Linked DNA regions of Neurospora crassa OR74A. The protein of the gene in region 1 binds, or shares a complex with, the protein of each later gene. Links are inferred from orthologs where the notes say so. Each region holds a gene or a part of one and is shown on either strand. Other genes may lie near its edges. The genes, in order: NCU03834 and hat-4.

The links.
Region 2: NCU03834 (region 1) and hat-4 share a complex: the UniProt entries of both Schizosaccharomyces pombe proteins name them as parts of the nuA4 histone acetyltransferase complex. The link is inferred for Neurospora crassa OR74A from reciprocal best matches to the Schizosaccharomyces pombe genes epl1 and mst1.

What each region holds. Positions count from the first base shown.
Region 1 is NC_026505.1:2,562,936-2,567,458, reverse strand, and holds the start of NCU03834 (histone acetyltransferase complex component Epl1), read right to left. Parts: upstream 3,051-4,523; 5' UTR 2,749-3,050; coding exon 2,602-2,748; intron 2,432-2,601; coding exon 1,661-2,431; intron 1,601-1,660; coding exon 749-1,600; 3' UTR 1-748. UniProt on the Schizosaccharomyces pombe protein: Component of the NuA4 histone acetyltransferase complex which is involved in transcriptional activation of selected genes principally by acetylation of nucleosomal histone H4 and H2A. The NuA4 complex is also involved in DNA repair.
Region 2 is NC_026504.1:5,716,983-5,721,502, forward strand, and holds hat-4 (histone acetyltransferase esa-1), read right to left. Parts: upstream 3,017-4,520; 5' UTR 2,874-3,016; coding exon 2,794-2,873; intron 2,718-2,793; coding exon 1,277-2,717; 3' UTR 664-1,276; downstream 1-663. Other genes in the region: NCU11146 (aminotransferase), read right to left, coding at 1-319; NCU05217 (RNA exonuclease 4), read left to right, coding at 3,498-4,520. UniProt on the Schizosaccharomyces pombe protein: Catalytic component of the NuA4 histone acetyltransferase (HAT) complex which is involved in epigenetic transcriptional activation of selected genes principally by acetylation of nucleosomal histones H4, H3, H2B, H2A and H2A variant H2A.Z.

The DNA.
Region 1 (4,523 bases):
GTCGGACCGCAGCTCGATTGCTGGTTTCCTATTGGCCCACCCGGTTCGCAAATTCTCGCACACCTCCGACCAATTCGCACATCGGCCCAGGGCAGCACCGTGTGTTACCTAAGCCCAAATGTGGCACATGCATACGCTCGCAGCACTTGTCTCGGGGCTGCCGATGACCAAACGCTCGGAACATCTCTGAGATCATTCCTGCTTTCCCCTGGGCAACAACCTCGCGGACGCACCCGGTCTATAAGGCTTCGTTCGCCCTCCAGGCTTTCCAGAAGCGAAGATGCCTTGACAGACATCGAGACCAGCCTCCACGCTTGATGGCCATAGCCACTTTCGTGGTTCAGTCACACTGCACAATACAACACCGCGTGAAGCAACTGATGGGAGCCAGAAGTGGTATTTTACTGCTTTGGTATCTCATTACTGTTGTCGCTGCACAGCTTCTCGCGTGTCTCAGCTATCCGCCGCCATCTACACGATATCGGTACGACTACTTGTTTACATATATACATGAGCCGTTCCCCACTTCGCCAAACCTACGCAAAAGCCGCAACCCAAACGCCTCGCCCCGGCCAGATCCTTCTCTTTAGCCCTGGCCCCATATCGCTAAATGCATCAATCGAGAGTTGAGGGGTATACACAGCAGCGGTCTTCCGAAGTTTATTCGGCTGCTCGACCACCAGCCCGCGAAAAAAGCCAAACGATATCTAAAAAAGATGACAACACAACACTCCTACAAACGCCAATTTTATGACACCGGTTGAGCCTGGGGCTGCGGTTGCGGCTGTGGCTGTGCTACTGGTTGTTGTGGTTGAGGTAGAGGGAGAGATTGTGATTGATTTGGTTGAGGTTGTGATTGCGGTTGTGGTTGTCCCGGAGCAAAAGAAGATTGGGCAAGTTGTTGTGGGACGGCGCCCGGAGGGATGAACTGCCGGTTGATAACCGGTGGGGGAGGTCTTGTGACCGTCTGGAGTGGTATTGAAGCACGGTACCTCAATGCCTTTGTATCAAAGGGGTCCAGCATATACACCGGCGCGTCGTCCTCGTCATCAGAGGACTGATCATACTTCCAGCGATCGGACTGTTCTTCACTGAGGTCTCGGGCTGGACTAGGTAAACCACGACGGTCGATCCACAACCTGTTCAACCGGCCGATACGACGACGATATGAGGGTGGATGCGCCAATGATTGTTCGTCCTGGGCAACGCCCCTGAATTTTACTGGTGGTGGTGGGTTGGGTTTGGGCTTATCAAGATCCATCGGGGTGGGCTCATCCATGGATCCTGAGGATGCAGACGCTGGTGGCGTCATGAGATACTGCGTCTTGGCAGGTCTGAAGCCCAAATCTTGTCTTGGGCCCTGAACGGGAGACAGCGGCTTGCCAGTGAGGTCGACATAGTTCTTGTTCCAGTCGATGTGGTTCTGAATCTTCTTCTCGATCTCGATGATGAGCTCCGCATTCTTCTCGGCAAGGCGATCTGAGAGTTGGACAAGATCTGACTCTGCGGGACGGCCATCGGGGCGCACAGGCATACGGATCTGGGGGGGTGGAGGGGGTCTTTGAGCTGAGGGTGCCTCCGGAGCCTTCCTCTTTTGCGGCTGTTGTGAAGCGTTAGCGTTGGCTGATGTAAGTCTTGCACGTCTTGCCGTTTGACTAACCTTTTGGTTTACTAGATCCTCGTCGCCCGTCCTGATGCCGAGTCGGAGTTTTTGCTCCTTGATGATGGCTCGTTGATCGAAGATGGCTCGCTCTACCTTGAGCATATCTGCCTTGAGCAATTCCCGGTTGTGGGCTGCCAGGATGAGTTGACGACCTTCCTCCAGCTCCTTCCGCAGCCGCTTGAGTTTGTCCGCACTCTGGACATCTCTTGCCCTCGTTTTGCGAGTTTGACGAATCTCTCTTCGGCGAAAGCAGACGTAGGGATCAAGCTCGTCGCTTTCCGCATGTGTCTCGAATTTCAGTGTAGGGTTGAGCGGTCGGTTTTTGCTGATTTCGCGGCGCGACTTCCAGTACTCATATATCTGCTTGGCATGAACCATGACTTTTGTGCTGTCTAATGGCTCCAGTCCTCGCAACATCTCCTGATACGACGGCACTGTCTGGTCTATGGCCGAGAACGGCGTTATGTTCGCCGCCATGTCCTCATACACGTCCATGATCCTCTCGAAATCATCTTCGGAGAGACGAGCAGACGGGGTCAGTTTCATGTTGTAGGACTTGAGGAACGTCTCATCGTCCTCGGTCATGTCATACAAGCAACTGATGCATTCTTCTACCGTTTGGGAAAAACGGATATACGTGGATGTCTTGGCCACCTTTTGAGGGTAGAACTGGTCGTAATCCAGTTCACTCTGCTGTGGAGGGGGGACAGGAATCTCCTGGTCGGCGGCGACTCCTGCCCCCTTGAGCACAGCTTGAAGATGGTATTCCTAGTTACAGAAGGGGTAAGGTCAGCACCGGTGACATGCATGGCTGTGTGCATGGAAGGTAGGTAAGGTGAGTTGGTGATGGAGGCGTGATGGAGGCGCGGCAGACGGGTGGCACGTGCACGTGCACGTGACCCCGGTCGCGATCAATCGGACATAGGTGTTGAACTCACATTTTCCTCGGCCTGTTCGACACCGGTGGCTATTTGGTTTTCGGAAGTGAGTGATTCATACTCAGAGGCTTCAATTTGATCCTCCCTGAGCACCGCAAGTTGTGTTTTGACACTCAGTTTCTTGTACCGAACCTTGCGGGTCGCCATGGTGAAGGTGTGGGCAATTGCGGCAGAAAGGCCTGGGGAAACCCCGACGAAATTTTTTTTTATCTCATGCGGGATTGCATGCGAAATCGAACCGTCGAGTTTTTTGATGGAAAACTCGCGTCGTGGGTGATATTTTGATGGGCAAAATCTGGTCCCTTGATGGAGTGTCGTTGAGGTTTCGGCGCAGATTTTGCTGTTTTGGCGGCGGATTCGACGGCCAATGCACGGTCTTGGCGATTGGCTGGGCTTCTGCTCTTGCGAAGCCTGAATGGCGGGGGGAGGGGTTGAATGGGGTGGTTTTGGGCGAAGTTTTGCTGGTCGCGCTGGCTTTGCTGGCTTTTCAGGGAGGGAACGTAAGCGTGGTGCCCACTGCCCGGGCCGTCCATGGTCTGCGCGTCCACTCGCAACGAACCAGTCAACCACCACTGCCAGTGGCCACTGCACTGTTTGAAAGTTGGAAGCGCGGGCGCGCCTCCAAGGAACCCGATCCGACGACTCCAACCTCGACTGCCCGCCTGAGAAGCCAAGCTGCCAACTGGAGCCCAAGGCAGTGCCAGCCCGCTCCGATAAGAGCAATATCGTCATGTAAGGTAAGGATTGGCGTGCAATCTTACAGAGATACACCGCGGCCTCATTGATTCTACTCTTTTGTTACCTGTTTTTGCTTGTTTTCAATCTTACTATCAGAACCCTTTGGCTCTTGGTGGAATGACGATGCAAGCAAGCATTTGCTGGTCGTCATAGACTCCTTGAACTGAGGGCATTCGGTGCGCAACCTGACAACACCCAAGTTGGATCCAAATAAAAGACTGATATCCTGCACCACTTCCTCTCCATGTCGTTGATATCGCATTCAATATTCAACGACAACTTGTGACTGTCTGGAGATTTGGGCATTTGACTGTTACCAGTGCACCGCAGCCAAATAAAGATGGAGTCCGAGGTGCAAATCATATGCGCAGCAGCACACATGCGATGCATTCCTTTAAGAATTCCTAAAACGGTCAATGGTTGGTTTGGTTTCAACGAGGAGGCACGCGAACAGTTCCAACAGACATCAACCCTGACCGTCGAAAGGGGCAGCGTGTTGAAATGAATCAATCAATGGGCTGATACGAGATGAGGAGGAGAAGTGGCCCGTGCATCCCACTTCTTACCCCACCATCCACGGCATAGATCCTCGTGCCTGCCCCCGCTGTCCGCCTGCCCAGCCGAGCCAAAGGCCGCGGCCCGCCTCTCCCTCTTTTGCCTCCGTTCCAGTCTGTGACCGCCAAACCGAAGAGGGGACCTGCCGACTGCGGGACGACAGTAGCCGCGGCGGGCTGCTGCTCTGCTGGTGTCAGCCCAGGAGTGCTCGTGAATGGGAGGCCCCCGCTGTTCGGTGAGGCAATCGAGCGCCGCACTGCAGCTATGGACTAGTAGTGACAGCCCGAGCTACCTGGACCTTGACCACTTGTCAACCACCACTGGTGGCATCCCATCTCAGCCTTATTCCTGCCTTGTCCAGACCCTTATCGACCCGGAGTCGACCCCTAATTCCTCCAACCTGTGAATACCTCCTGCCTCGCACTTTTTTCTTTGCTGCTCAAGTGTTAACCCACCACCCAGCGCCCGAACTTCTTGCCAAAGTGACGACGACTACCGACACGACCCATTCGTATCCGATCGCTTCAGCGTCGCATCACGTCGCATCTTTCGGCACAGGCACATTGCTATCATCACGAGCACGACAACCAGCGGTGGAAAGGAAACAGAACAAACCGAGAACTTGTCGA
Region 2 (4,520 bases), on another chromosome or scaffold:
AGAGAAGGTGGGAGGGGGGAAGGAGGTGGGGGGAGGGCCAGCCGCGGAGGAGGTTGATTTGTTTCTTTTCGCCGGGTTGGGAGAGAGGGGTTGGGACGTCGGGGTCGGAGAGGGCGGGGGGTGTTGAGGGGGACATGTTGGCGGTGGTTGTTGTTAATGTTGTTGATGTGTTGATGTTAACTTGGAGTGATGAAGACGTTGGAATGTTGAGTTGTTGGTGAGATGAGTGGAACCTAGATAAGGTTGGTGGTGGTTTTGGGACCATAGCTTTGTTATTAACCTGGCAGCGAGTGAATCTCAAATGCCGTGGTGAAACCATTCAGTTTATCTCAGCCTAACCCATTTGTCCGTCGTGATCGCCGTCGTGAATGATGTCGTATTGCGGGGAATCTAGGTTGCGGGGCCGGCCGGCCGGAGGTGTGGGGCTGGACGGGGCTGACGGAACACAAGCAATGGATGAGGTGACGTCTGGAGGTCTCACTACCGAATGCGGCCCGGGAGATCTCCGACGACTAGCCGGTATAACCAGTCACAAGCTTCAAATCTGCGAAAGCGGTCTGTAAGATCGGGGAATACACCCACGTTTGATGACGTCCAAAGCAGCCATGCTCTCAATAGTAAAGTCGGGAATCTTGAGCTAAACTTTCGTCAAGATTTTGTGCTGTAGCAAACAGGCTTTTTCGCTGATCATGAGTAGAGATTATGACTAGGCTCTGCTTCTCTATCCTGGTAATTATATTCCTAATCACTCGTAAAGAAATGACAAACCATTCTGGTGCTTTTGGCCGTAATAGTGATACATATGGTGTTCCTTTTTCCCCCCCTCCTGTAAGCCATTTCCCCAAGTGCCCGTCCAAAACAAAAACCAACGCCATATCATACTAACCAACCCGCTTGCTACCCATGCAATCTTGTTCTCATGACTATTACAACGAGAATAACACAGACATCCCAGCAGTAAGAGCGCTCGCTCCCCAAATATTGAATGATCCACCAAGACGACATACCACCTATTGTATCCATGACCCAATAAATCAACGAAACCATTGTAAAAATCCAACAAAGGTCAAGTGCACTTTGCGGCCATGTTAATGACCATTCTGTTTGCATACACTACTGCAAGGTTTCCAGTATCTGATCGATTCAGGAATTGATCTTCTTTTGTTGGCGTAATGCTGATGGTTTCGTTTTCTTTTAATTGGGTCATGAATCCGTGTGGTGGTGTCACGAGTGTGTCGTCTTGGTGTATCATTCAATATTTGCTGAGCGAGAGCAACTACCACCCCCATGTCCGATTAAGCGCCGTGAACACCGGTGGCTTCCACTGGATCCTCTCGGGATCAATCAGCCTCTTTTGCTTCGCTTTGCTCTTCTCCCTCTGCTTGATCAGCTTCTCCGGTACCACAATCTTGTGCTCGCCCTTGTGGTACACCTGCATCTTGAGCGCCTGCAACGTATGTTCCACATCCTGTGTCGTCATGGCCAGGGCAACAGCAATGTTCTCAATCGTGCAAGCTTCCTTTCGCTCGTTGTACCCGAGCAAGATATCGATGATGTTCTCGGACCAATACTGTCTATATGACAGCAGACCCAGATCGGACAGGGGCTTCTCGGGCGAGCCGAGCTTGCCTTCGATTTTGGACAGTTCGTACGAGAATTGGATGAGCAGGCGACCGTATCCCTTGCGTTGGTACTGCGGAAGGGTCAAGATACAGGCGACGTTGTAGCCGTCCGTAGACTCTTTTTCTTTGGAGAAGTACCCGATGATGTGGCACCCCCGGTCGTCGCGGGTGGTCATGACGTAGAACAAAAACGGGTCGACATCGTAGTAAAGGGTTTTGTGGTCGAGAAACATCTTGGACAGCAAGCAGAGGTTGCGACACCAGGTGCGCTGACGTCGCCCGTCGATTTCGAAAAAGGAGACGTAGTCGTCCCGGTAGATTTCGTTTCCGGGCGGGTGGTGTAGAGTGCACTTTTGTCGGTGACGCACAAAGGATTTCAACTCGCCGTAGTACGAGAGACAGAACTCGCAGATGTAGATGCAGTCTTCTTGGTCAAAGATCTGCGGGTAGGGCGAGAAATACCACGGGAAGAGGACGTAGCGGCCGAATTCCACCTTGGAGATATTCCGAATGCGCGAGATCTCGGTAGGGTTCTGTGTCATGGAGCCGGATGTTCGCAACTTTTCAATCTCTTGTTCCCTGGAAAAAGACGGCTGGCGTTGTTTCTTAGCGGCTGGTATTTCGTCCTCATCCATATCGATCTCGTCGGCTTTCCTCTTGACTCCCTTGTCCCCACCAACCTCCAAACTGGCGTTGACGTCGGTTCCATCTTCCGTCTTCCCCCGTTGCCTGTTATTCTTCCCTGGCTGGCTTTCGACAAACTCGGTCCATGGGTGTGGTGTCTGCCCGTCCGATGCGACTGACTGCTCCCTCTTGCTGGCCTTTTTCTGGTTGTTCTTCTTGGACGGTTGCTTCTTGGATACCGTCGAGTTGTTTTTCTTGGTCTTGGCGTCCTTCTGCTTGTCCTTGTCCGGGTTGGGCCACTCGACGTCCTGCTCGAAATCGATTCTGGCGGCCGGCACCCATTCGTCGAGACGCTTGTTGAAGTTGTCAAAGTTGCAGTAGAATTGCCGGCCGGACTTGGTGTCTTTGATACTGAGGATCTCTGCTCGTCGTAATTGGCCTTCTTTCATCACCATGGCAATACATCCCATTCTGTTTGGTGGTGTTAGTATCTGGTTTTTCAACGACGATGGGGGGTGCCGTGGACAATGATGGGACGGAAACATACTTGATGGTGTCGGGCGTCGCCTTGCCCTTCTGTCGCTTCTCGTCGGAGCCGACAGTGGCATCGCCACCTGGGGGACTCATGATGGCGGCTATGTGTGATCCAACTGTATATGATTCGGTCGATAACTTGCGATGGTTTGCGACAAGATTTGATGGTTGTGGACGATGGGCGATTGAATGCGATCAATCTGACGGGCGACGCGCGACGTCAGTCTTGAAGTGTTTTGTAGTGTTCAGCGACTCTTTCAGTGGACGCTTCCCGAACGTTTTGGAGGGGTCCTTCAGTGGCGAGCCCACGTGTTTGGGCCGTCATTTCAGCGGGGATGCAATGGGACACAGCGGCAGATCCCTGCATGGCTTGCCTACCCTGTCAATCGTCCAGGAACCGATTTCCCCAGTTGAATTTTTAAGTGAACACCAAAGTGGGGCCCATATTCAACATCCACTTTCACGTTCATACAAAAAAGTTATCACCTTCTGGAAATCTTCCGTTTGTCTCAACCTTTTGTTTACTTTCTCTCATTCCAAATAAGAATTCAGCACCAATTGGACTCCACATAACCTCGGCCGCCAATTTGTGATTGGACATACCACAAGTGATCCCTCATCGGCAGTGACACCCTCACTTGTCTGTCTTGACTCAACACTCCATCACCACCACCACCATCAAAATCACCAAGGCAGGAGACCCTCCTGTCACCAACCATGGCCCCGGAACTCTCCTCCAACTGGAAGAAGTTGCAAGAAAAGCTCAAGGCCCCTCAACCAACCAAATCAGCTCCCATCAGCCAAGAAGCCGCTTTCAAGCAAGCCATTTCCAAAAAGTCCATTTCCTCCGAAACCCTCAAGCGCAAGGCCGAGGAGAGTCAACAACAGCAACAAGCCTCCAACCCTTCCAAGAAGCCAAAAAGACAAAAGTCCCAAACCCAGTCTCAACCCAGCAGCCAAAAACCAACAGAAGAAAAAATGGGCGGCAACGTCCAATCCAAGCCCACCACCTCCTCCTCCCCAAACAGCACCCTCCCCTCCCTCCACCTCTGGGCCGACGAACAAGGCATCTCCTCTGAATCCCTCGCCGAAGCGTACAACCTTGGCCTCCGCGGCACCTCTTCTTCCTCTTCTTCTTCACACATCCCTCTCCTCTCCACCCTCCCCCCCGCCATCCCCAACGCAGGCCTCACCCTCCCCGGCCATTCTTCTTCTTCCCCTAAAAGCAACAAAAATGGCCTCCCCTTACCAACCGACCTTCCCTCATCCCTCACCCTCTCCAACGGTCTCACACTCGACACTTCCACCACCACCGACCTCGCACTAATCCTGCAAGCAACCAAGTCCAACACGCTCGGCAAATACCTCTCCATCGACTGCGAAATGGTCGGCACCGGTCCCTCGGGCGCCACCAGTGTCCTCGCTCGATGCTCCATCGTCGACTTCCACGGACACCAAATTTACGACTCGTACGTTCGCCCCACTGCTTTCGTGACCGACTGGCGCACGCATGTATCAGGCATTTCCAAGCGCCACATGGCGTCCGCACGATCGTTCGAGTCCGTACAAGCAACTGTGGCTGCCCTTTTGAAAGGTCGGATATTGGTGGGTCATGATGTCAAGCATGATTTGGAGGTGTTGGGGTTTGAGCATCCGCATCGGGATATTAGGGATACGGCCAAGTACAGTGGGTTTCGAAAGTATGGACATGGGCCGAAGCCGAGTTTAAGGGTGTTGGCC